Linked DNA regions of Drosophila melanogaster. The protein of the gene in region 2 interacts with the protein of the main gene of each other region in a pairwise test. Each region holds a gene or a part of one and is shown on either strand. Other genes may lie near its edges.

Evidence for each region. Proteins that work in one complex are often made in the same cells at the same time.
Region 1: the proteins of CG32772 (region 2) and CG2889 interact in a two-hybrid assay, tested with the Drosophila melanogaster proteins (one large-scale study listed by BioGRID).
Region 3: the proteins of CG32772 (region 2) and odd interact in a two-hybrid assay, tested with the Drosophila melanogaster proteins (one large-scale study listed by BioGRID).

What each region holds. Positions count from the first base shown.
Region 1 is NC_004354.4:10,470,813-10,478,995, reverse strand, and holds CG2889 (uncharacterized protein), read right to left. Parts: upstream 5,059-8,183; 5' UTR 4,911-5,058; exon of another isoform or gene 4,321-4,910; intron 4,281-4,320; exon of another isoform or gene 4,208-4,280; 5' UTR 3,979-4,207; coding exon 3,856-3,978; intron 3,795-3,855; coding exon 3,374-3,794; intron 3,316-3,373; coding exon 2,871-3,315; intron 2,814-2,870; coding exon 2,601-2,813; intron 2,389-2,600; coding exon 1,845-2,388; 3' UTR 1,795-1,844; downstream 1-1,794. Other genes in the region: CG2887 (uncharacterized protein), read left to right, coding at 573-1,601; nocte (no circadian temperature entrainment), read left to right, coding at 7,027-7,116, 7,213-7,378, 7,458-8,183.
Region 2 is NC_004354.4:4,907,522-4,915,313, reverse strand, and holds CG32772 (uncharacterized protein), read right to left. Parts: upstream 6,213-7,792; 5' UTR 5,995-6,212; exon of another isoform or gene 5,863-5,994; 5' UTR 5,556-5,862; coding exon 5,517-5,555; intron 4,463-5,516; coding exon 4,136-4,462; intron 2,934-4,135; exon of another isoform or gene 2,803-2,933; intron 2,572-2,802; coding exon 2,439-2,571; intron 2,370-2,438; coding exon 2,185-2,369; intron 2,111-2,184; coding exon 1,531-2,110; intron 1,469-1,530; coding exon 1,170-1,468; 3' UTR 153-1,169; downstream 1-152. Other genes in the region: CG6927 (uncharacterized protein), read right to left, coding at 6,707-7,792.
Region 3 is NT_033779.5:3,602,430-3,610,009, forward strand, and holds odd (odd skipped), read right to left. Parts: upstream 4,328-7,580; 5' UTR 3,930-4,327; coding exon 3,857-3,929; intron 3,671-3,856; coding exon 2,565-3,670; 3' UTR 1,795-2,564; downstream 1-1,794. UniProt on the Drosophila melanogaster protein: Pair-rule protein that determines both the size and polarity of even-numbered as well as odd-numbered parasegments during embryogenesis.

The DNA.
Region 1 (8,183 bases), 5.6 Mb from region 2:
TCTCGCTCTCCATTTTTTGAACCTACTTTTTTTTGTTTGTTGTTTTTTTGTTTTTGTTATTCTACTTGTTTTTATCACAACTACGCTTTTCCGATTGCAAAGTTTATGCGAGAACTTGCTCAATTTTTTGCTTATCAATTAATATTGAGAGTGATGTGACCGTTTGATGCCGGCAGTGATGAGCGACCCCCGATGGCAACTATCGTATGAGCGCAGCTAGCAATCGATGATTTTTGAGTAACCATGGCACTGAGCATGGCGGTAAATATCGAAAGTAATCGGTTCTTGAATTCAAAACTTGTTATGTCCCACTCCCTTTTTAAAGTTATGCAGCGAAAATATTGTTGTATAAGTTAACCAAAATCAGACCAATAGAAAAACTAAAAGAAAGGGCGTTAGGCTATAAAATCTAAATCGAAGCATAAATAAATAGTAAGCATATAGTAATCGTAGCAGTGTTGTTCAAATTAAGCAACATTCTGATTGGAACAATACCTTTTACAATTCGATTAAATTTTCGAAGGAGTTGCACTTGTTCGTCTGTGTACGTAAAACATTTGGAGTAAAAAACCATGCCTAAAGACTACTACAAGATACTGGGCATCCAGCGCACTGCCAATGATGGCGAAATCCGCAAGGCATATCATAAGCAAGCGCTGCGCTACCATCCGGACAAAAACAAGAGCCCTCAGGCGGAGGAGATCTTTAAGCAGGTGGCCAAGGCATATGAAGTCCTATCAGACAAAAAGAAGCGCGGATCGTACGACTCCCGCAATGACAAGGGTACCCGACGCAATACCGCGAATCAAGGTAGCGGTTTCGGCGATGGAACGGCATTTGGTAGCTGTGGTGGTGGCAGTGGCAGTGGCAGTGGCGGTGGCAGTGGCGGTGGTCGCCAGAACAACCCGCGGGCCAACTTTGGACGTTTCTTCGACAACAGCGAATCATATTCTACGTTCTTCGAGGATATCGAAAACGATTTTGACAGCGACGATGACGTCCTGTTGGGTGGAGGAGCGGGCGCGCCTAAACGTCGTTGCGAACAACAGTCACCCCAGTCAAGCATCGAACATGTAATATACGTTGCTCTGGAGGACATTGCCAACGGGTGCAACAGGCGCATGAAGATCTCCCGGGCTTCGGGTAGGAACGGCGTTGATGGGGTACAATATGACAGAATTCTCACTGTCAAGATACCTCCGGGCTGTAAGGCTGGCACCAAGATCTGCTTTCCCAATGAGGGTATTCAACTGCCCAACCTTGAGCCCGCCAACGTCGTGTTTATAATCCGGGACAAGCCACACCCAATCTTTCGCCGCGATGGCAACAATCTGCTGTACACAGCCGAAATCTCGCTGAAGGATGCTCTGTGCGGTTTACACGTGATGGTGCCGACGCTTCTTGGCAGGCCGATGGAACTCAAGACCGACGTGGGCGAGGTAATCAGTCCGAAATCCGTGCGCCGCATTCTGGGCTACGGATTGCCCGATTCCATTAATAATTCCCGTCGCGGCTCCATCGTCGTCAGGTTCTCCATCCAGTTTCCAGACGCCATATCCAAAGAACTCGCATCCTCGCTCGACAGACTTCTGCAAAACTGATCGAATGGACACCTGGAGATGTTATCCGTCTTTATGAACGGATCAACGGATCATACATACAACAAAAAATCATCTGTGCTCCACATAAAATTACATATTTTTTTTCTATGTGATTCAATAAAGATCTTATAATCTACCTCTAACAAGCATTGTCCGCTACAAATACCTCTAATAAGAATGAAACCAGTGAAGTACAGTTTAATTATACGTATAATGATTAAACACAATTGTGAGGGGTCAGGTTTAAACGTCGGCCGGTTTGAACTGCGGATTGTGCGAGCGTGCCATCTTGGCGCGCAGCCACTCGTCCGCGTGACGCTGCTTAATGTGGACATACATATTGGAGCGGGAACGGCACTCCTTGGGGCAATGCGGACAGTTGTACAGCTGCAGGCCCGTGTGGATGGCCATGTGCTCGTCCAGGTTGCGCTGCTGCTTGAAGGTTTTCTCGCAGAACGTGCACTGCAGATTGGTGGTCAGCTTGTGGGCATATTTGACGTGACCGCGGAGCGCTGTGCGCGATGTGCAGGTCTTGCCACAATGCGGACACACGGTGTCCGTGCTGTCGTGTGTGAAGCGGTGCAGGCGCAAGCTGTGCTCGTTCTTCAGCCAAACACGGCAGATGGGGCACTCCACAGCCGGGGCCACGACGCCCTGGTGCTCCAGCAAATGGCGCTCGAAGGAGGGCTTGAACTTGAACTTCTTCCCGCAAATGTCGCAAACGTGACGATGCAGGTCTTCGTGGATGGATTGGATGTGCCTTCGCAGGCGGTGTACATTGGCAAAGCTGTAACAGATAATTTCATATCAAATACTCAACTTGCAAGACAGTTTTTTTATCTTAAAAAAATTATTTCTTTCTTGCTATTCTCGAAACAGTGTGAGTGCGGAATAAGTAGACAGCTATCCCTCTCATTTGCGTGTGGAATGAATAAAGATTACTAATTCAAATATGGGGCAAGAATTCCAATTCGATCAGAGACCCTGCTCTATTCTCACCTTTTGCAGCAGATCTCGCAGGTGTGCTCCAGTTGATCGGTGTCGTGCTTGGCCAGATGATTGGCCATACGGCGCTCGCTGCTGAAGGTGCGTTCGCACTTGGGGCACGGGAACTTGAGCACCTTGCCGATTTGAGCCACCTTGTTGTGCACCGTCTCGATATGAGTGGCCAAGTAGTCCTGCGAGTTGAGCGACTTCTTGCAAATGGTGCAGCTATGGGATTTTAAAGTCTATGTAGCAACAGACAGAACCCTCGGGCTTCAAACTCACGTAAATAGCTTGGGGTTGATATGTTTGCGGATGTGGTCCATCAGCTTGGAAGCGCGTGTAAAGACTTTGCCGCAGCACTTGATGTAGTACTCGCGCTGGTGCACCTCCAGGAAGTGGGTCTTCAATTCGGATAGGTAGGGAGCACTAAATTCGCACAGGTCGCAGCTTGCACTCATGTAGCTAGCAATGGCCTTCTCGTAGCTCTTGGCCAGCTGAGCACGGGAGCAGCCCTTGGGCTTGCGCTCGAGAACGGCCTGTAGCTCGGACTCCTGCGACTCGGTGGTTGTTCGCTGGTCAGGTGCCTTCCTGCGCCGACGCTTGCCACCATCGTCGAGCAGATCTGCAAGCTCCTGCTGCAGCGATATCGGACCCTGATCCTTGGAGGAACGTGCCGAGGTTTTGCGCTTGGGCTTCATTTTCGATTTCAGACGGACCAGGGGTTCATCTGCAATGGAACAGGAACTTAGTTACGGCTAATCCTTGGGAAACATTAAGATAATAACCATCTGAGGAGTCAGATTCAGATTCCGGCTGCCCCTCGGTCACCTCCGGTTCGCTATCACTAGCTTGCAGGCAGGGCTTCTCGTCCTCCTCCTCCTCGCAGGGCAGCTGCTCCTTGATCGGTTCCCTGACTTCCACACTGTCCACATTCACGTCCAGCACGCTTCCCAGCAGACTAAGGTTGTGCAGGTCCAACGGTTTCTCGTCCATGTCGCCAGCCGCCAGCGGCAGTTCGTCGATGTTGACGTCCACGTCCACACCGCCCGTCCACTTCATGGCCGCACAGTCGACGTCCACGGTAAGGAACTCCTTCTTGAGTGAGCACTGCTTCTGCTCCACCAGCTGCCAGAAGCCATTGAAGTCCTCCAGATGCTCACAGCACTCGGTACAGACGCTGGTCGAGATGCCGTCGTCTGGTAGGATCTGCATGGGATGGCTTATTGGAATTGTTTTGATACCATTGGTATTTGCCAGATACACTCACCTCCAGCTGCAGAAACTTCGCAATCATCTTGACCAGGCGCGTCTCCGCAAGCGTATCGTCCGTCTCAAAGAGGAAGACAGCGCTTCCGGGACTAAGACATCGCAGGCAAAGGCGACAAATCATTTCGCGCGAACAGAACCACAACGCAAAGTCAAATAAATAAAAAATTTAAACAGTTTTTCGTTGTAAACAACATAATTCACCTATCGTGAATCGATAACAGAATCCAATTGTGAATGGCAAAACTTCATCTCAGGAGTTTTTTGCGGGGTGGCCACCCTGATCGTTGAGTATTTCTCTTTAATTTCTCTTACAATTTATGGTCTACGTTTTTAATTGTCTGCAAAATACGCTGTAAACGATTATCCATTAATTAAAAATCGAAAATATGAAACTTAATATATCGCTGGATACACATCAAAACGATGGCATTCTGCGGACGGTCAGGCAGCACGCCAATCGACCCACACAACTCTGGCAACGCTTGCCGTAAAATGGCAAAAAAATAATACATACGATTTAAAACTAATGGACAATTACGTATTACGTGAAAAGAACGCAACGCAAATAATCAAAACAAATAAGAAACGCAACTCGTGTGCGTGTGTAGTGTGTGTGCAGAGCTAAAACCTAGCGAAGGAAAGGCAAAAACCCGTGGAAAAAGCGAATTCAAACGGGTTTACTCGAAGCCTCCTCACCCGATACCATTTTCCACCTACACTTGCAAAAAAGCGACAGCGCGCGAGAGGGACGGCGCGAGTGAGCGGAGAGTGGGAGAGCGCAGTGCAAGTGAGTGGGAGCGAGAGCGCTGACAAAGCCAGCGCAACATAGCGAAAATCGCAACCAAATCGAAATCGAAATTCAACCAAATCGAAGATTCTGGCGAACAAAGGCGACTAACAACAACAACTGCAGCAGCGGCACGTCTCGTCTTGGTTGCGCTCTCTTTTGTTTTCGTCCCGTGTTTTAACAAGCGGCGAAACGGGCGCTGAGTAAGCGCCAGAAAGAGTGCAAAAAAAAGGCGAAGGAAAGAAAGAAGCCAAGGAGCAACGAACTGTGTTTGCGGTGTGTGCTCTGCGTGCGAAAGGGTAAGCTCTATGGTCTCTCATGCTCTCGCTCTGGAAGTAGGCCGGAACCGAGATTTGTTTGCTAAATTATGTTTAATTGCACAGCGGGTTTGTAAATCTGTGATTTTGTTTGTAGAAAATACGCATTGTATCAAAGAAATATTTTTGTCGGTTCTGTCAAATTCGACGTGTGGGAGTGGGAGGGAAGTTCAGCTAGTCATGTTGTCCCGCTCTATATCGCAAACAGCGTTGCATTTGTCGTCGGCAGGTCATCGTGGTCCGTTTTCTCTTTTTGTCGGCATCGATGCATAGAGTCCGTGTTAATTTCCGTTTAATCGCTAAATAGCACGCTCTCTAATTGTTTAATAATTGCCAGGCGACTGCCACCCCCGGAATTAGTTTCACTCGGCGGTCTGGCTGGATCCCAACGGACCAGGTGGCAACGCCGCGCTCCACACCACTCACGCACGCAATACATTCGAAAAGTGAGAAGTGGTAGAGGAAGAACTCGAGGAAGAAGAATTAGCGGCAAACTTTATGTTGGACGGTGAAAAGCAGAATCAAAAGATATCAATTTCCGCGAAGTTAACAGTTAAATAACCAACATACAGGCGGCCAAGTGTGCCAGCAGACCGCGAAACATTCGAAGTAAACAAATTCAAGCGTTTTCCATTCAGTTTATCATCGCTGCCCAACAAACGAAACTCCCCGAGTGTATTGCTGTGTGCGTGCGTGCTGTTTAAACGGTATATTTTACTCGTCTCTCCTCTTTGTTTGCCTTTGCCAGCCACTGTGCCATGCAAAATTAATAAAAGGATACGGCTGTAAAACAAAAGGTGGTCAAAAAAAAAAATTGCACTCGTCGATTAAATAATAACTATCAAATCCTCTCGGTTTCTGCGAACGTAAGTGTGTGTGTGTGCGTGATGTGTGCGCCTGTGCCTGCGTGGTGTTAGTGTGCGTTGTGCTTGTGAATGGTTGTTATTACAAAAAGGAGACATAGAATTGTTGCCAAGCGTTTAGATTGTCTTGTACTCCCCCCACTTGCATCTGTCAAATTGGTTACATTTTAAATGCCGGCCTTTGTTGTTGTCGCTCTTGTTGCGAGGATTTTACTGGCCCCGTTTTTTCTATTGTTGCTGTAGTTGTCAGCCATTGTTCGGCCGCCCCTTCACGCCCCCTGCCGCAATTATTACAAGACGCCACCGCAAAAAATTCTTTCAATGCGTTGCCGCTTCTGCCGCTGCTGGCGCTGGTGTGTGTGTGTGGGTAAATCTATCTAGCTGTCCCGCTTCCGCTGTCACCCGCCCAAGGCAGCCTCTCAGTTGCGTGTGCTGCGAGGCACTGGCTGTCCTGCTCGCACCAAACATTGCCTGCATTCAGTGTCGGATCAAAGGGGGGAGCGAAACTGGGAAATAGTTGCCCCAAACGTTTTCGTAATAAACGCAATATCAACAAAATACCAAATGATTCTACAAACAGTTTCGAATGGTAGTAGTCGAATGGAATTACACTCTAGTTGTTACTTTAACGAAGCATTAAGAACTTGAACGTATTTCGCAACAGCATGTGTTGGAAAACTACCAAGAAACTTCTTTAGTTTCAGTGGAAATGAAATATCAAAAGCATTTCTACTAAAACTCGGTTTAGTTGAAACCCATACCTATTATTGTTTGAAGAGGTTATTTTCCAAATTATTTGCAATATCTTTCTAAGAAGAACCAATTTTCGCTACAGATCCACCTCTGTAAGCGTTAGTGGTGCGGATCGGTTGGGGGTGGCTAAATAGAGGAGTTCCCGGACACACAATAACCAGCGTGTTGAAAACAATTTGTCGGGAGCACCACCCACTTGCAACTGACTAGCCTCGCCTCGCTACGCCTGCACCTATACTCAATTAAATGCCTATCTACGCTTTTGTATTTTGCAGCCCACCAGAAAGACTGAAACAAGGAGCTTCGGCCCAAAAGCGATCCCAGCTCCTTAAACTCATTCTCGTCAAGAACCACAGCCACATCCTAGCCCATCCTCCAGCGCAGCGGGAAGACGAGGAGCGCGGCGGTGGCGAGAAGGAAGCTAACGCTAATGAGGATCTATTGGCAGCATGAGTACACTGGGGGGAAGTAGGGGAGAGCGAAATGCCAAGCCCAAATTCACAGCGTTAGATATAAATCGCATGTACAAGAATAGCCGCGTAAGTAGCGAGCCCCTAGACCTAGATCTAGATCTACATCTAGATCTTGATAGATCCAAACCTATCTGATCGCCAACTTGTTCTTATTGTTTGCAGGGCGAGTCAAGTGAACCATCTGCACAAAAGAATCAAGTGCCACGTAAACATGGAATGCAAATCTTGGGCAAAGTGCCGTCCGCTAGGCGACCACCAGCCAATTTGCCATCCCTGAAGGCCGAGACCCACACCAGCAGCAACAACAATCTCTTAGTCTCAGTCGAAGGTGGGTGTTCTACGATTTTATCTTATTGAAAGCGTGTGTACTAAGATGTACCTTTAACTGGGTGAATTTTCCATTTTAGGAGCCACATCTGGTGGGGCGGGCGCAGGCGGAGCAGCGGGATCTGGCGCGGCAGGAACCAACACTAGCCACAACAACACCACTGCCCACAGCGGAAGTTCAGGAACGAGCGGCGGAGCGGGATCAGGCGGCGGAGGAACTGCGTCTTCATCTGCTGGTGGCCATCTATCCCAGCAGCTGACTCACAGCCAGCATCAGCACAATAATAACGTCGCTCTCGGCCCTAACGCCGGAAAGTTTGTCAACAGCAACAACGGCAGCAGCAACAACAACGCCGGCAGCTCAGGCAGCGGCAACAAGAACTTCAAATTAATCAACAACTCCGTGGGCAGTTCCGGCGGAGGCGGACAAGGAGGGTCGGGCGGCGGCGGATCGTCAGGAGTAGGAGGTGGATCAGGGTCAGGATCGGGCGGACACTCAGTCAACTCACCCAAGACATGGTCTGCAATTACCACAGGACACGAGCGGGGCTCGGGCGGTCAGAACTATGGACGCCAGCAACAGCAGGTGGTCCCCCATTATCAGAGTCCACAGTTCCAGTACGAATTTCCCACGCTGGACGGCACAGTTGGCAGCGGCGCCGGCGGAGGATCGGGAGCGGGTGTGGGTTCAGGATCTGGAGCGGGCAAGAGCCATTACCAGAATCAGGTGCACCATGCCGGCCACCAAAACCATCACCAGCATCAGCAGCACCACCAGCAGCATCAACAGCACCACCACCAGCAGC
Region 2 (7,792 bases):
GCAAATAAACTATATATACATATATGTATTATATAAAACTGATCGCTTGTGTCACTTCTGAAATATTTATATATATATATTCAAAATATATAACAAATTTCACCCATTCAGAAGAAATCTTTCGTTGTAATGAAAATTTGTCGGCTTGTTTTCGTTTCTTAATGTTGATTTTTTGTAATGGTTTATTAAAAAAAAAATAAAAACACTTAAGCTAATGCCTAACATAAATACATACCGAATTTAATCGAATTGTTTTTCACTTCTTGTTTTCGTTACTTTTCTCTATGCGTAATTACTATCAATTGTAGGTAATTTGTATTTGCTTTCTGTTTTTTTTTTTTTTTTGTTTTTTCAACATTATATTTTCCGTTTCGCTGCGCCTTTGCATTACAATAAAATTTTAATTCGATTTAAGTTTTACAGATTTCTCAACCCGATCTCATGTTTATATAATATAATGTATATATAGATGTGGGTGTTATGTGCATAATTTTATAAGTCAGTTGTGTTTTTGTCTGTCCATCTGGTGCTGCTGCTTTTTCTCCTTATCTCTTTCGATGTCATGCATTGCTGCTAATATTCTTGGAAATTTATTCAGGGGCATTTGGTTCCTCTATTGCTTTGGCTGCTGAATTCAAAACAGGAAGTGGGAGACAGACACCAAACTGAACCAGCAGCTTGCCGCCGACTCTAAATTCGGGATGTTTTGGAAGTCCACTCGCCGATTTCAAGATAATTAAGTGGATTCTGATACCCAAAAAGTTGATGCTGAACTCAATGCGAGAGTAGGACAAGTGCATCTCAGAAAAACTAAAAGCTAGCTTTAATCGATGAACTCGACTAACTCCCCCATTCCATTCTGATTCAGAATTCAAGGACGAAAACGCTTCCTACTGCCTGTTCCATACCTTTTTTTCACCAATCCAGCATACGCTTAACTCCACGGGTAACGCATATAAAGAATGATTTCTACATCAACTTCAGACACCCAAAAGTATTTAGAGATCTGCAGAGACTCCAAAACATCCGCGCCATATATCTAACATATTTTACGTGTGTATGTGCTGAATGTGATGCTACTTTGGCTATGGCTATGCTAATCAGGGACTTTAGCAGCTGATCGTTCGGGGCTTAAGCTAAAAGAGACCTTCTTTCCATTCTTAACTAGCCTACTTAGTGGGTATGAAACGCGCCTTGACCGCCTGTCCCATCGGCAAGTGCAGCAGTTGCTGCTGCTGCGCCGCCTGCTGCTGTTGTTGCGCCGCCTGCTGCTGCTGTTGTTGTGCCGCCTGCTGCTGCGCCTGCTGCTGTGCCGCCTGCTGCTGCATGTGCTGATTGATCTGCTGCTGGATGGACAGGCCGCTGACATTGCTGATATGCTGGCTGTGGAGCGATTCGTTGATCTCGATCTTGATGGCCGTGGCGGCCAGCGTTGTCGCCTTGTTCTTGTTCTTCGGCGGACGCCCACCTGGATATGCAACGAAAGGCGTAGTGAGATTCAAAGTGAATGAGTGAATGGTGAGCACTTACGTTGCCCTGTCGTGTGCTGCAGTGACAACGGCTGGCCGATCATCGCCAGCGGCTGTTGCGACGTCTGCAGCGTGCCCGCCTTCTTGGATCGCTTCGGAGGCGGCAGCTCGTGGTGGGCGTGATTGGTGAGCAGGTGCTTGGAGAGGTGCTGGCGCACCGCAAAGGACTCGGCACAATTGGCCACCGGACAGGAGAGGTAGCGACCCTCGACATGGCGCTGCACGTGCTTCTTCAGCAGCGACTCCTGATTGAAGCTACTCGGGCAGATGTCGCACTTGAACTTGAACTCGTCGTGCATCTTGAGGTGCTGGTCGAGATGGGCCTGCTGCAGGAACTTCTCGTCGCACTTGTCGCACTCGTACGGAAAGGCCAGGCCGTGGGTCTTCATGTGCGTATGCAGCTGCGACTGCAGTTTGAAGTTCTTCTCCGGACAACGCGGACAGTAGTAGCCGGTGACCCCAGCGTGCGCCTGCAGGTGCTGGTTCAGCGAGGTCACCTGCGTGAACTTCTTGTTGCACACGTTGCAGCAGTACTGCTGCACCTTGTGGTGCGACTTCATATGGTTGTTCAGGTTCGTCACCTGCAATGCGAGAACATATCGAGCCGTTATTATCATAAATCCTCTGCAATTTATCAATTTATCTTGGAACTGACCTGGGCGAAGCTGCGACCGCACTCCGGTTCATTGCAAACGAAGGGCCGTTCGCCGGTGTGCAGCCGGCGGTGATTGTTCAAATTGGTGATCTGCGTGAAGGTCTTGCCACAGTCCACGCACTGATATGGCCGATCGTTCGTGTGGATGCGTTCGTGGTTCCGCAAGTTGGCCGCCTGCGTGAAGCCTGAAAATCCAAGAGGTACATCGATTGTTAAGAACCAGATGATGTGTGCGAACGGCATATGGGACTCACCTTTGTGGCAGTAGGTGCACACAAACTTACGCTCCGCCGAGTGATTTCGTATGTGCGTCATGAGCGAGGATTTGCGCGAGAAAGTTTTGTTGCATAGCGGGCAGGAGCCCTCCTCGTTGAATATCAGATCCACCTTAAAGAAACAAATCGAACATTAGTTGCAAAGGGCTTGCCTTCTACCGCGGGTTACCTTCCATCAGAAAGGCATTATATATGATATGCCATTTTACTTTAATACAACCTACTATAAATTTATGCGAAAAACCTTTTTTCTAAGCTGTACATTATATATGCATATAGTTCTAACGAATAAGTAGCCAAGTGCACATCACTGTGTCACTATCGCCCTCCCACTCCCACTCACGCTCAACAAGCTGGCGGCCAAAAGAACGGATTGCAAATTCCCGTGCGAATTCAGTTTGTTTATTGGGGAATCACTTGAGTTACATTTAATATTTTTCACGAGCTTTTTTTTTATTATAATTATTTTATTTATTTTTCTGCGTGCCACGCACACCCACACACCAAAAGCGCCAACTGAAAATGAATTTTTTCCGCTTTACACAGCGCACAAAAACGCCGAGCTGCGTCGACTTCGACGTCGACGTCGACAGAGCAGATATTAATGGAAAAAGAAGCACAAAATATATGTGTATATACATATATCTATATATATATATATATATACATATAAATATAAAGGAAAACAAGAAAATGAGCAGTGCGAAATGTAGCAAGTGGAATAGAAAATACTCTCACGCTCAACACTTTTCTAACCCGTTTGTAATGCATATCTGTAGGGCCTACCGTTTTTAATCTTCTATAAGAACTTTCCAACACTACCACGTCGACTGTGTGATGGAATGAGACTGTACTGAAGTTTTTTTTTTGAAATTTATGTAAATAGCAGCAATAGTAAATAGTATCTAAACATGTCTGCAATAGAGCATTCCCAAGTCGTCGCAAGGCAATTTTACATTTATTTATACATTTTTTTTTTTTGCAATTCTCTGTTGCATGATGGAAAAAGAAAGGCAACAAGAACATGCAAAGAAACGGCGAAATAAGAAGTGAAGAAGAAAAGCAGCGGCTATGAATGTGCAGTGTGTCCGTGTGCATTTATGTATATGTATATGTAAGACTTTTGTGAGCGGGGGAGTAGTAGTGAAATGTAAGAAAATGAAGAGAAAATAGCACAACAATAATAAACAAGTGCAGCAAAAGGAGCAGGAGTCGAACTCCCTGGGAAGTAAAGCACTCTTCTGAAAACGGTTGATGGGGGTCTTCAAACCCCTATAATTCCAAATGCAATGCATCTACTGAGGATTGCAGTGAACTCTGTAATTAGGTTTAAATTGTCAATTTTTTTGAATCATTTATAGTTTGATGGGCAATTGCATTGATTGGATTCCTAAACCATAGAACACTTTTCGTGGACTATTAAACATTAGGATTAAATTTTAAATTTATTCATAGATATTAATATACATATTCAAGACGTTCATATTTTAGTTGAAAATAAGAACGACCTTCAGTTATTTACTTTATTTATCTCCTTTAGTAAGCCCTTTGCAGCACTGTATTCGCTGCCACTTCTTGCCATGCCTCTCGTAACACTACACGTAGTGCAACCCACTCACTATGCCCTTTGCAACACTCTCCCTGCCTTGGTATCCCAATCCCTGAAATGGACTTACGTCTTCGGAGTCGTCCTGCGACTGTAGGTTCTCGGAAGAACTGGATGATTGCATTTGCTGCTGTTGTTGTTGTTGCTGTTGCGAGTTCTGATGCTGCTGCTGCTGCGGATTCTGATGCTGCTGCTGCTGCGCGATGGCGTCGCTGTCGCTGGAGGAGGCCGTCGACGAGGAGGTGGCCGCCGCTGCTGCAGAGGCGGCAACTGCGGCCGAGGCAGAGGCAGCGACGGCTGCAGCGGCCGCCGCCGACTGATGGAAGTTGGAATTATTTGTCAACTGCTCCGAGCAGCGGACGCACGTGGGTATGCTATAGCCGGGCACCTGGAACAACTGTAGGGCGGGGGAATAGAATAGAACAGAACAGGACACGTGAATTAGAGAGTGCTTCCAATTGGAAAAAAAAAACCAATAATGCTCTTTATTTATTGTGGCAACTCAATCTTATTCCACACATACCCTCCCCCTTCCATGCCAACTAGCCCTTTCTCTTTTCCACCAACTAGAAATAAGAGCCAAGAAGATAAACACACGCACACACACAGGCACGCACACATGGAGAGCGAAAAAGAAAGAAAAGAAACTACAATAACAACAGCACCAGCAGCTCGTTGCTTTGTTGTTGTTGTTTTCATTTCATGTTATTTTTTTTCTTCGGTACAACGTTTTGTTATTCTTTCGCTTTTTGTTTTGCTTTGCCGCCGCTCTGCCAGCGGCGGCGGCAGAGGCGTCGCCTACAAAAAAGGGGTTATTTGGTAATTGTTTAAATAATGAACTAAAAACCAAGCAAAGTTAGATCTGTTTTGTTAGTTTTATAACCGCTTAACTTTAAATTTTTGGGCTTAGATGCCCAATATAGTAAACCCTCTGTCACTAAATTAACGCGCAGCCACTGCGTATTTGGCTGCCTTGGCGCAATTTCTGTCATTTTGTTTTAATATGTATTTCTTTTTGTGCGGTTCATGGGCGGCGGGAGGGGGCTGAAAGAGGGGGGCCTGTTCGGGGGAATAGGTTGAAAAGGAGTCAAAGTGAAAAGCGAGTGGCGAGCGTAAGCAAAATGTAAAAATAATATTTTTTCAAGTTGTCGGCTTGAACAACTTTTCGGGCTGAGTTGGCTAAAAATAAAAATTGTTCAGCAATAGTTTGGGGTCGCATGTGTATGTGTATTTCTTATTTCTGTGTGTGTGCGTTTGTATGTGTGTGGGGAAAGGGGGGCAATGCGCGCGCTTTTGAACCCCGCCCCCTGCGCCAACAACCCGCCCGCACAATAACAGTAGCGCGAATTCAATTGTTTAAACTCCACCAAAAGAAAAAAAATCAATAGAAATAACAAAGTGTATATACCTAAATCACATGTGTGTATATCTTTTTTTTTTTGTTAACATACCGTTGCCGTTTGGAAGCACAATCTACAGATGGTGTCCATTATAACAGTAAATAAGGAATAGGATGGGGAGCAGGAGAAGGAGGATGCACTTTGTTGCTGACTTTTGCCCCCTCTGCGGTCGTTGTTGTTGTTGTTGTCGTCCTTCTCCCTCGCAATTTACCGCTATCTTTACCGGTTAACATTCAGCGCCGTTTTTCTTTTTCGTTTATTATTATTTAGTTCGTTTTTTTTCTATCTTTTTCCTTTTCCTTCCTACTATAAGTTTGTGAACACGATCCAAACGATGTGTGGTTGTATTTGAAACTAACTTTTTGGAGTTTGGTTTGCGTTTGGATTTCGGTGATCGCTATATGGCATATTATGATGGCAAAAACAAAAAAAAAACTATATAAATGATATAGAAATTTGATTTATACGATATTTTCGTGGTACACACACACACGCGCGTTGTTTATGTTTGCCTTGCACTTGCACATACAAGCAAAAATGCGGCGCTGTTGTTGTTGCTGCTTCGAAGTTCTGCTTCTTTTTTTTGCTTAATTCCTTTGCCCTTTTTTTGGCGTAGTTACACGTGAAAAAAAAAACAAACCAGCGCGTTCGAATGCGTTTTTTTTTTGTATTTTACAATTCACGACGAAGTTTTTGTCCGTCGTCTTTTTTCCCTTTTTTTTGGGGCCCGATGTTATTGTTGCGCTGTATGCGTGAGCCGTGTGTGTGTATGTGTGGGGAAAAAACGAATACGATAAGAATACGCGGTATAGTTGTGCTGCTCTAACCCACAGGTTGGCTTGGCCGGTGCTCCTTGGCCTGGCCTATCGATATTTCTATCGATTTCCGTAATCGAAAACGAGGCGGGTAATGGAATCGTTGTTGAAAACAAGTTTTTTAATTTATTATTTATTTAATATTTAATTGCAAGTCCGAAAGATTTATTTTATCATAGGTTATTTTATTTAAATAATTGATGGTGTTTTTTAGGCAGCCATAGAATCATGAACTTTATTTTACAACAGAATAAATATAAAATCATTTTACAGAACAAAGTGAAACAAACATAATACAAAACTTTCACAATAATTAAACAAACTATGCTAAACGATGGGTACAAATAATAAACACTTTAAATTGGATACTTTTCACAATATTAAATCTACTGTGTAATCTAATAATAAAATGAAATGGACCTTTTTTTAAATACAGTAGACAAATGTCCAGAAAAACAGATTAAAGACGAGAAAGGAGAGCGGAAAAACGAATCTGGCTCGACTATCAATCCACATGGCTATTTCCTGGGGCGTTAGCGTGGTCCAGCCACTCAGATCGATCTCCTCCTGGTGCCCCGCGCTCTCCGTTCGGTTATTGTTGGTCAAAGTTTGGCTGCTGCTGGCAGCACTGATCGCTCCAGTGGACTGGGCAGAGCCCATGGATCCAAAGGCACTCTCCACAAAGTTAACATCCATCTTCTGGACGACGCGGCTGGTCCTCTGCTGATCCAGAACTTGGCCCTCCTTAATCGTGGTGATGGGCAAATTGACGGTTAGGTAATTGTTGAAACCGGCACCGCCCAGCGAGCCGGTATCCGCTGTCTTATGCAGAGCCGTGCCCGAAAAGGATCTGGATCTGGCGTGACTGCGTCGTCTGAGCAGATTCGGCGATAGAGTTGACTTCAGGATGTGTTTGCTGTTCAGTTTCTTGACGGGCACACTCTTCTTACGACGCCAAATCGTGTTAACAAAGGCGAACTCCACCATGCTGCCAAATATGAAGATGGTGCAGCCCAGGAACCACACCTCTGACACCTTGATGTAGCTAACCTTTGGCAGAGTCTTTCCCTGTGCCGAGGCCAGGGTAATGAATGTCAGCAGGGTGCTGGTGCCCAGCGTGATGCGCGGCGGCGCCTGATCTGCTTGCAGCCAGAACGATACCCAGGATATGGCCACAATCAGCATGGAGGGTAGAAAGTAGTCCATCAGGTAAAAGCCAACCACTCGCGTCAGGTGAACGGTGAAGCTGAGGGAGCTGTAGTTGCCGGCAAAGGCTCCATGACGCAGGTCACTCAAATCGGCATTGATTACCGTCTCGTTTGACCAGGAACGCTGCAGCACAAACTCGGTGAGATGCAGTGCCCCATCGTAGGTTATCGGACGCTTCTGCTCCCAGTGGAGGACCAGTTCCGACGTATTGTACATCCAACTCTCCAGCACCGTCGAGCAGTGCTGCTCATCGAATGGGAACTTCTTAAGGTTGAGCCAGCAATAGAGTGTCGCCTTGATGCG
Region 3 (7,580 bases), on a different chromosome or scaffold from region 2:
GACCTGTCGACCAACCGGCTTACAACATCATCATTCTGGCTTTTCAGGGTGGTCCCGGCCCAAAGGCGAACAGGGCCAAGTGCGAACGTGTCCTGGACAATGGGATGTGCCCCTATGCCGATCCTTCCTTTTCCCCCGGGCAGCTCATTAAAATTGCATGCTCGGTAGGAGCAGAAAATAGGAGGAGACTGCCCCTGTGGCAGTAAATGGCTCACTTTTGGCAGGCGACTTTCCAGCACGTCCTGCCACTACAATTTACAATGGCAGGACATCCACAGGACACGGAGCTGCATGCCACCCTAGTTGCGGAACCGATGCGTTTAATTGTGGCTCAAAATGGCCCAAAAAAAAAGGGACTCACAACCCCATGCGGACACATATCAATCTGGTCGGGATAACTCGCCCTCCCGCTGTGACTTTCACAAAATATTTTGGTTGTACGCAGTGCAATTATGGACAAGGTGTGTCGAAATGCCAGGACACCAAGATCCTCGAGGTCCTTAGACTGCCTGCGGCGAAGTGTTGCAAAACACGGAACACAAGTCCTACGGTTGACCACCCGACCAACTCGGCCAGATAAGACTAAGGTTAAGGTTTGGCCAAAGTCAGCAGGATATGCATGGCCAAGGGGGCGCGGCCAGGATACTTGTCAAAAGTAATCCTGGGCAAAAAAAAAGGCATCTATGTAGACATCAATTGGCGAATACGTTGGCACTTTTCTGGCACGAAAACAAAGCAAATCAAAGCCAACACAATGAGAGGGCCCAAATCAATTGTACATGGCCATAAGGCCCGAGAGTATGTCATCAAGGTGGAGAAAATGGAAAATGGAAATGCTAATGGAAATGGAAATCGAGCAGCAAATGAGGCAGATGCAGACCCCTCATGCGGGTTCCCCCCGGGGGTAACCAGAACGACCTCAGGCCTCAATTAAAGACAATCCTATGCTCGATTTTGAGACAAAGATCACAATCTGAAATTGACAGTTCTGAGTAAGAAGCGTGCTAAGAGAAATGCAATTGCCAATGGAAGAAACTAGAAAAGAAAACCACCATTAAAGGAAATCAAACATACCTTTTGCAAGGCATTTGGCACGTTCCCGATTTTCAAGAGAAGCCACAATGAAAACTGAACTAAACCCAAAACTGAAACACAGGCCATAAATATTTGGACCACACCTCAAAGTTAAACAATAACCATAGTGTTACCGAAATCGAAACCGATTCATGACAAAATCATAGCAAAACTGACATCAAATTCAATTCGATTCGATTTCATAAATTAACTTCTGCGACAGTTTGAATATTTTTGGTGGCGAGACTTCTGCTTACTTAATCGGCAACCTGAAAAATAATAGAGCTGCTTAAAAATGCGCAAATCGAGATCTGCATAAAAACTGAGTTATATTCGGATGGTTAATAAATTTTGACAGCTGCTGTTTGATGGTTCAACTTATATGGTCCTACGAGTTCAGTCTACTGAGTTATATTCGCAGCATGAGAAAATTCCCAAATCGGAATGGCGTGGGATTTAGTCAGCGGATAAGAAAGATTTCAAAGTGATTAAAAGTAGATCAAAATCATTCAGTCCGCTTGGAACTTGAATCAGTCAGTAGGTGGTAGAAGGTAATCAAAAAATTGCTGCTTAAATCTTTTCAGATAACTTTAACTTAGTACACCATAAAGATTATCAAGTTGCCAGTAGAAGTAATGATAAATCAAGGCGAAATTGCCATTGCCAAATACCTGGAAACACAAAATCCACCGTATTCATAAAAAGTCTTATTAAATTTCAGTTGAAAATTACTTTGCGTTTATATTTACGTATTTTTGTGATAACTTCATATCAATACGAATGTTTCAGACATACATATAGACGACAATGAGATCGTTGTGCATAGTCACAATTGCTATAGCGACAATTAAGTTGTTAAGTCTAAACAGTAAGTAATCATGACACTCGTCGGGGTTTAACATTACACAATCGATCGATTGATTTATTCAAGTACTATTTAAATATAATAATTAAAACAGTCTTTCAATAACCAAAGCGGGTTTGAGGTTTGTTTGATTGAGCTATTGTAACATAACATTTGGTTTACTCCATAAGCACTACGAACTGAATGGGCTACTACGACTATAAGGTACATACAATAATAGTTAGATTACAATATAAATTATGTGCTATTTATTAAAGTTTATAGTTTACAGTTGTGTGTGTGTGTGTGTGTTTTGGAATCGATTTGTAGGAGGCTTGTGCTAGCAATACTTTTCATTGGATTTTTCATCAGTTTTCCTCTGCTATTTGACTTTGGCATTTGTTTAACGCAATTGGGATCTGCTACATAGAACCGATTGCACGGAGGATGACTCTTCTGCTCACTGGGTTGCGATTACGAGTTGCTGGCGAGGATTTTCCACTTGCACCTTTGGCCAGAATGCGGGCTGGACTCGCTTGGTTTTCCATTCCAGGCATTTCCCATGCCTGGCGGACGTCCAGCTCTCTGAATCTCTTTTAGAATGTCTCAAAAGAAACCGGATACCGGGTTTCGCTGGTCCTTCAATCTATCTGCTCATGATCTCATCGATGGTGAAGCCCAGCATCCGCTTGGGCTTCTCTGAGCTCGAGGATGACGAGGATAGATCCAGGACAGGCAGATGCTGTGCCAAATTCTCAGGTTGAGGCGAACTCAATGCCTGGTTTGGCACCGAATGTGAAGTGGCTGGTGAGGTGGTCACCACCACCTCCTTGGTGCTCTGCTCGCTGTGGCTCTGGAGGTGACTCTTGAGGTTGGCCCGCTGGTTGAAGCTCCGCTGGCAGATGGGACACTTGTGCGGACCCTCCTCCAGATGGGTGACCTTGTGCACGGCCAGGGTGCGCGACTGGCAGAAACCCTTGCCGCAATCGCTGCACTTGAAGGGCTTGTCCTTGGAGTGGATGTACCGGTGGTCCCGCAGATGATCCTGTCGCCGGAAGGCTTTGCCGCAGATGTCGCAGGAGTAAGGCCTCTCGTCCGTGTGGGTTCTCTCATGGATGAGCAGATTGTACGACTTGGTGAACTGCCGGTTGCAGTACTTGCAGATGAACTGCTTCTTTGGCCGACTGCTGCCAGTTGCGCCGCTGGGTACACCACTCGCTCCACCGGCACCACCCAGTTTCAGGGTGGGCATGGCTCCGAAGTGGCGACCCATGACCGCGGCATGCAGACTATGGAGGCCAGCGGGATAGGGACGCACATGATGCGGATGTGGGTGAGGGTGGTGCGGATGGCCGTGGTGGTGATGATGGTGCGGATGTTGCTGCTGCTGCTGTTGCTGCTGGTAGATGGCTGCGTTGCGGATCCAGTGGTTCATCAACTGCTGGTGCACGGCCACGGGATCGGCGCTGGCTGTGGGATAAACTGGATACTGCTGTGGAGCCTGATGTTGTTGCTGCTGCTGCTGCATCTGCAGCCACAGGCGGTGCTGCTGCTGCTGTTGCTGCTGTTGTTGCTGCTGCTGGTAGTGGGCCATGTGTCGCATGTGCAGCTGGGTGGCCACCGCCTCCTCGCTTATCGCCGGATGCACTCTCCTCAGCGGCTCCTCGGTGGGCGTGTGCGGGGGCGTCAGCATGGGGGAGAGACTTGTCTCGCGCTCCTCCTTGATCACTATGAAATCCTCTTCAGCAAAGTCTAAAAAGGAAGGAATAGAAATGCCCACGGTTAGTTTTCAATTCATATAAATGCAATGCTATGTGAGACTACTTTCAAATATTAATGGAACATTTTTTGAAACTAGTCAAAAAGTGCTAGAGAGTAATGCGCTTTGCCGTCGGCATTTGCCAAGTTGTTCTGAGCCAGTTTTGAACTTGAACCCACCTTGTTCTCTGCTTAAGTTGAGCTCGTCATCCACGGTTATGTTGCTGATGGGTGAGGCCGATGTGGAAGACATTATACTGTCTTTGTTGGCCTTGTGTAGTTTTATTTGGCTTAAAATTGTTTAGTTGCGCGAACTGCACGGTTCACTTTGGCTTAGCACTTGTATCTACGAATGTATCTTTTCTCAGTATATTTCCCAGCTGACTGAGCGTTCTTTTGGATGCGACGTGCCACCGACAACGTCTCGACACAAACTGAATTCGTTGGCCGTTCGCCGCTCTCCGACTCAAACGCTTGAGAATCGAAGTGAAACGAGGCGAGTGGAGTGCTGATATTCCTGTCTCGCTTCCACGTTTGAGTGACTCGTGTTGCTGTTGTTAGTGTTGCTTTTGCTTTTGCTTTTGCTGCTGCTGCTGCTGCCGCTGAGCGATGTTGCTGTTGGGAGTAGCGCTCGTTAATAACTGACTGCAACTGCTGGCAGGGCGACCCGTTTTTGAACCGGCCGAGAAGTGCGGAGGAGGGCGACGAGGGTGGCGAGCGGCCCGACCAACGGCAGCTGCCTGTGGCGGGGTTGAAGTTGTTTGGAAATGGTAGATACGTCCACGCCTACCTGCTGCTCTCGGATTGGCCCTCAGCGTTCGGTATCTACTATCCCATGGATGTGGCTCCGACCGAATGTGCCTGTGGATGTGCATGGATATATGTGCCTTGGCTTTTTCCGTTCCAGCAGTAAGCAAGCGGAAACCGTTGGCCTGACGGTCGCAAGCCTGGGATATTGTTGGTGTTGCTGCTGCTGCCGATGTTGCTGCCGTAGTTGCTGCTGCTGCCGTTGCCGTTGCTGCTGCTGCTGCTGCTGCTGCTGTAGCTGCTGCTGCTGCTGCTGCTTCTGCCGCTGATGGCAGGCAGCCATCGCTGGAGTCCAGCCCGCATCCCAGTCCCAATCCCGAAACGCAGCCCTCCCAGGCGCATGTGCCATCAGCAGGAGCAGCAGCTGCACGAAGGTCCTGTGTCGTCCTGGCGCGTCCCTTCCACCTCCATTGCCATGTCCATACCCATTCCGCGCCAGCTCTCGCTGCTCCTCGTGCCTTTTTAATGTCGTGCTGTCTGCGCCGCAGGATATTGTAATCTATTGTCCCTGTTTGTGTTTGCGCCTGATTCGTTTTCACTTAAATTTTAATTTGCAATACAAATCAGTTTTTTTTATTCCCCCCCATTTTGCTTTACACTTTAATCTGGAATTCAATTAGCCGCTTCAAAGCGATGGCGATAAAAGTTTCGAGTGGGTGGAAACGGCCGTTTGTAGCGAAAATTGATTGGCTTTTAAAAGGGTTTCCGGCAGGATAAGCCGGACATATTTTACAGCAAATTAACGACGAGTTTGAGGTAATGGTAATGTAATTGAAAGACTTTATTAAAAGGATTGTACACAATTACTGGTTAGTTTTGGGTATGCCTTTCACACACCATTTATTTTCGAGTTTTTTTAATTATTTTACTCAGTATTGTATTTATTGTAATTCAGTTGTTTAAGTAGTTGTTAAGTAATAGTTGAACTTTCACCGTTTTCAACTGAAGTGCGACTCGAGCTTGTCAAATCATCTTTAATGAGTTCCTCATTCGAAATGCTTCATGCTACTCACTTGGATAATTATTTAATAATTTGTAATTGAATCGAGACAAGCAGGTGCACTTTATGGGCAGTTTTCTTAACATATTTTGAAGGAAATTGCTTGGAAACTAGAAATAGGTAAAGTCATAGGAAAAGGTTAAAAGATATAAGTTCTGCGGGTTGAATGTTTCCAATCAAAATTTATTGAAGCATCAAATTAATGTAGTTGTTATTTATAGGATATTGTAGTTAAATATCTTTACAATTTTTATTATTATTATTCGGGCTTCTATATAATTAATATTTTTCATATCTCATTTAAAAAGACAAATATTTCATAGCATTCAAGAAAATACGAATTTTCCTCATTAATGAATAGTTTTAAATTGCACATGCCATATTTATGCTTCCGAATTAAATCCTATTCTTCGGTTGGATTTTCCGCCAACTATAAGATATTTCCCAAGTCCGACAAAACATGGATAATGCATATCCTATTATCCTGCTTCCGAATTCCGTACATTCCCATGACTTTGACTTGTCGACTTTCCAGGTGAAGCATTTCCGCAATGGATCTGCGACTAATCCTTTAACTTGGCAAAACAAGAAACATTCCCATTGACTGGTTTTACCCGTATACGGACTTAGGATCCGAGGATCCTGAGACTAAGCCCATTGCGACACACTCCGTCACAAGCGGTCCTTGGCAGGATTGACTTTGGGTGATTAAATTAAGCAATATGTACACAACATTTAGTACAAACTTTCCCAAGCGGCGGCGAGCCAATGATCAAACAGCCTGAATCAATAGGCAAAGGTCCTGCTGCAGGACGTTTTTTCCCAGAGTGCGTGTGTCTGGAACTCTCGGATTGTCGATTTTTGATTTTCGATCCGTTCCAACATCGGATCGGATGTACCGTCGGTTTGCCAGTGTCGGTTAGCTTTAGCCTCGGCGTTTGGCAATTGTCGCCGCTGTTGACGGTTGGCAAACAGTCGGCGAACTTTTCCATTTCAAAGTGACGGCCCGGACTCCGCCCACCCTTTCGGTTCCCTGCCTTTCGGCCTGTGGAGTCGCGAGCGGTAATTAACATCATGTCATAAGTGTACAAAGGCAAATAAATAAATAAATAGATAAACACCAGCGGAGTGGAGACACATGAAAGACACAGGCCGAATATTTCCCAGCACATGATATATGGCATCGCACTGGCTGACTTCCTGCTATATCCATTTGTTGTCGTTACTAATATTGTTACTATTGTTGTTGCGCCTGTCAACACATGGCCAAAAGGATTAGCCCTCTCCCGGGGGAAACACATGTCCCACTATTTGCATGTGGAAAACGCGAGATTTATAGTAGAGAGATCCTCCGACACTCGGAAACGGAAACCAAATCGTAGGGATGCGGAAAGCAGGAACGATGGCCATAAAAAATAATTTGGAAAGACCTGAAACGCTTCCTCCGCGCCAAGGACCTGCACCAATAAAGAAGTCATTGGCTCGGCCATAAAGCCATAAAAAACTATAAAACTCTCGGCCTGCTCGACATTAGTAGTCTGCCATTGTTTTGCGGAGGTCCTGGCCTGCGAAAAAAAAATCGAAAATCGAAGTACAAATATGTAGAGCGTAAAAAATATAACAACGAGAGCAAAAAATCACAAAATCATCATAAACCGAAAATGACAACTTACTTAGTCGCTTCTTTGGCATCATAAAATCGCCCAAAGACACTTCGCAGAAGACCCTTGGTTCTTGACTCTCGGATCTCCGGACTGTGACCCGGTTTTTAGCAATGTTCTTTCTGTTTTTTTTTTTGGTCTGCTCTTTTTTTGGACCATTGCCATGCATATTTTATGGTATTTTTTCGTGTTTCCACGAATAAAATTAGATTTTTTAGAGCAGAAATGTCAGCTACGCAGTGCGCGAAGTCATCGGTAATAATTGTAAAATGACTTTTTAGTGGGCCATATGCCAGGGGTTTCGCTATTCCACCAAAATCACTTTTTATATTAGCCGTGGAAAATAAAGTAGGGCTCTTTTTTTTGGGAATCTCGACTTGGTGACCTTCACTTGTAGGGAAATCTCGAAGTTTTTCCTTCGAATCGAACGTCTTTT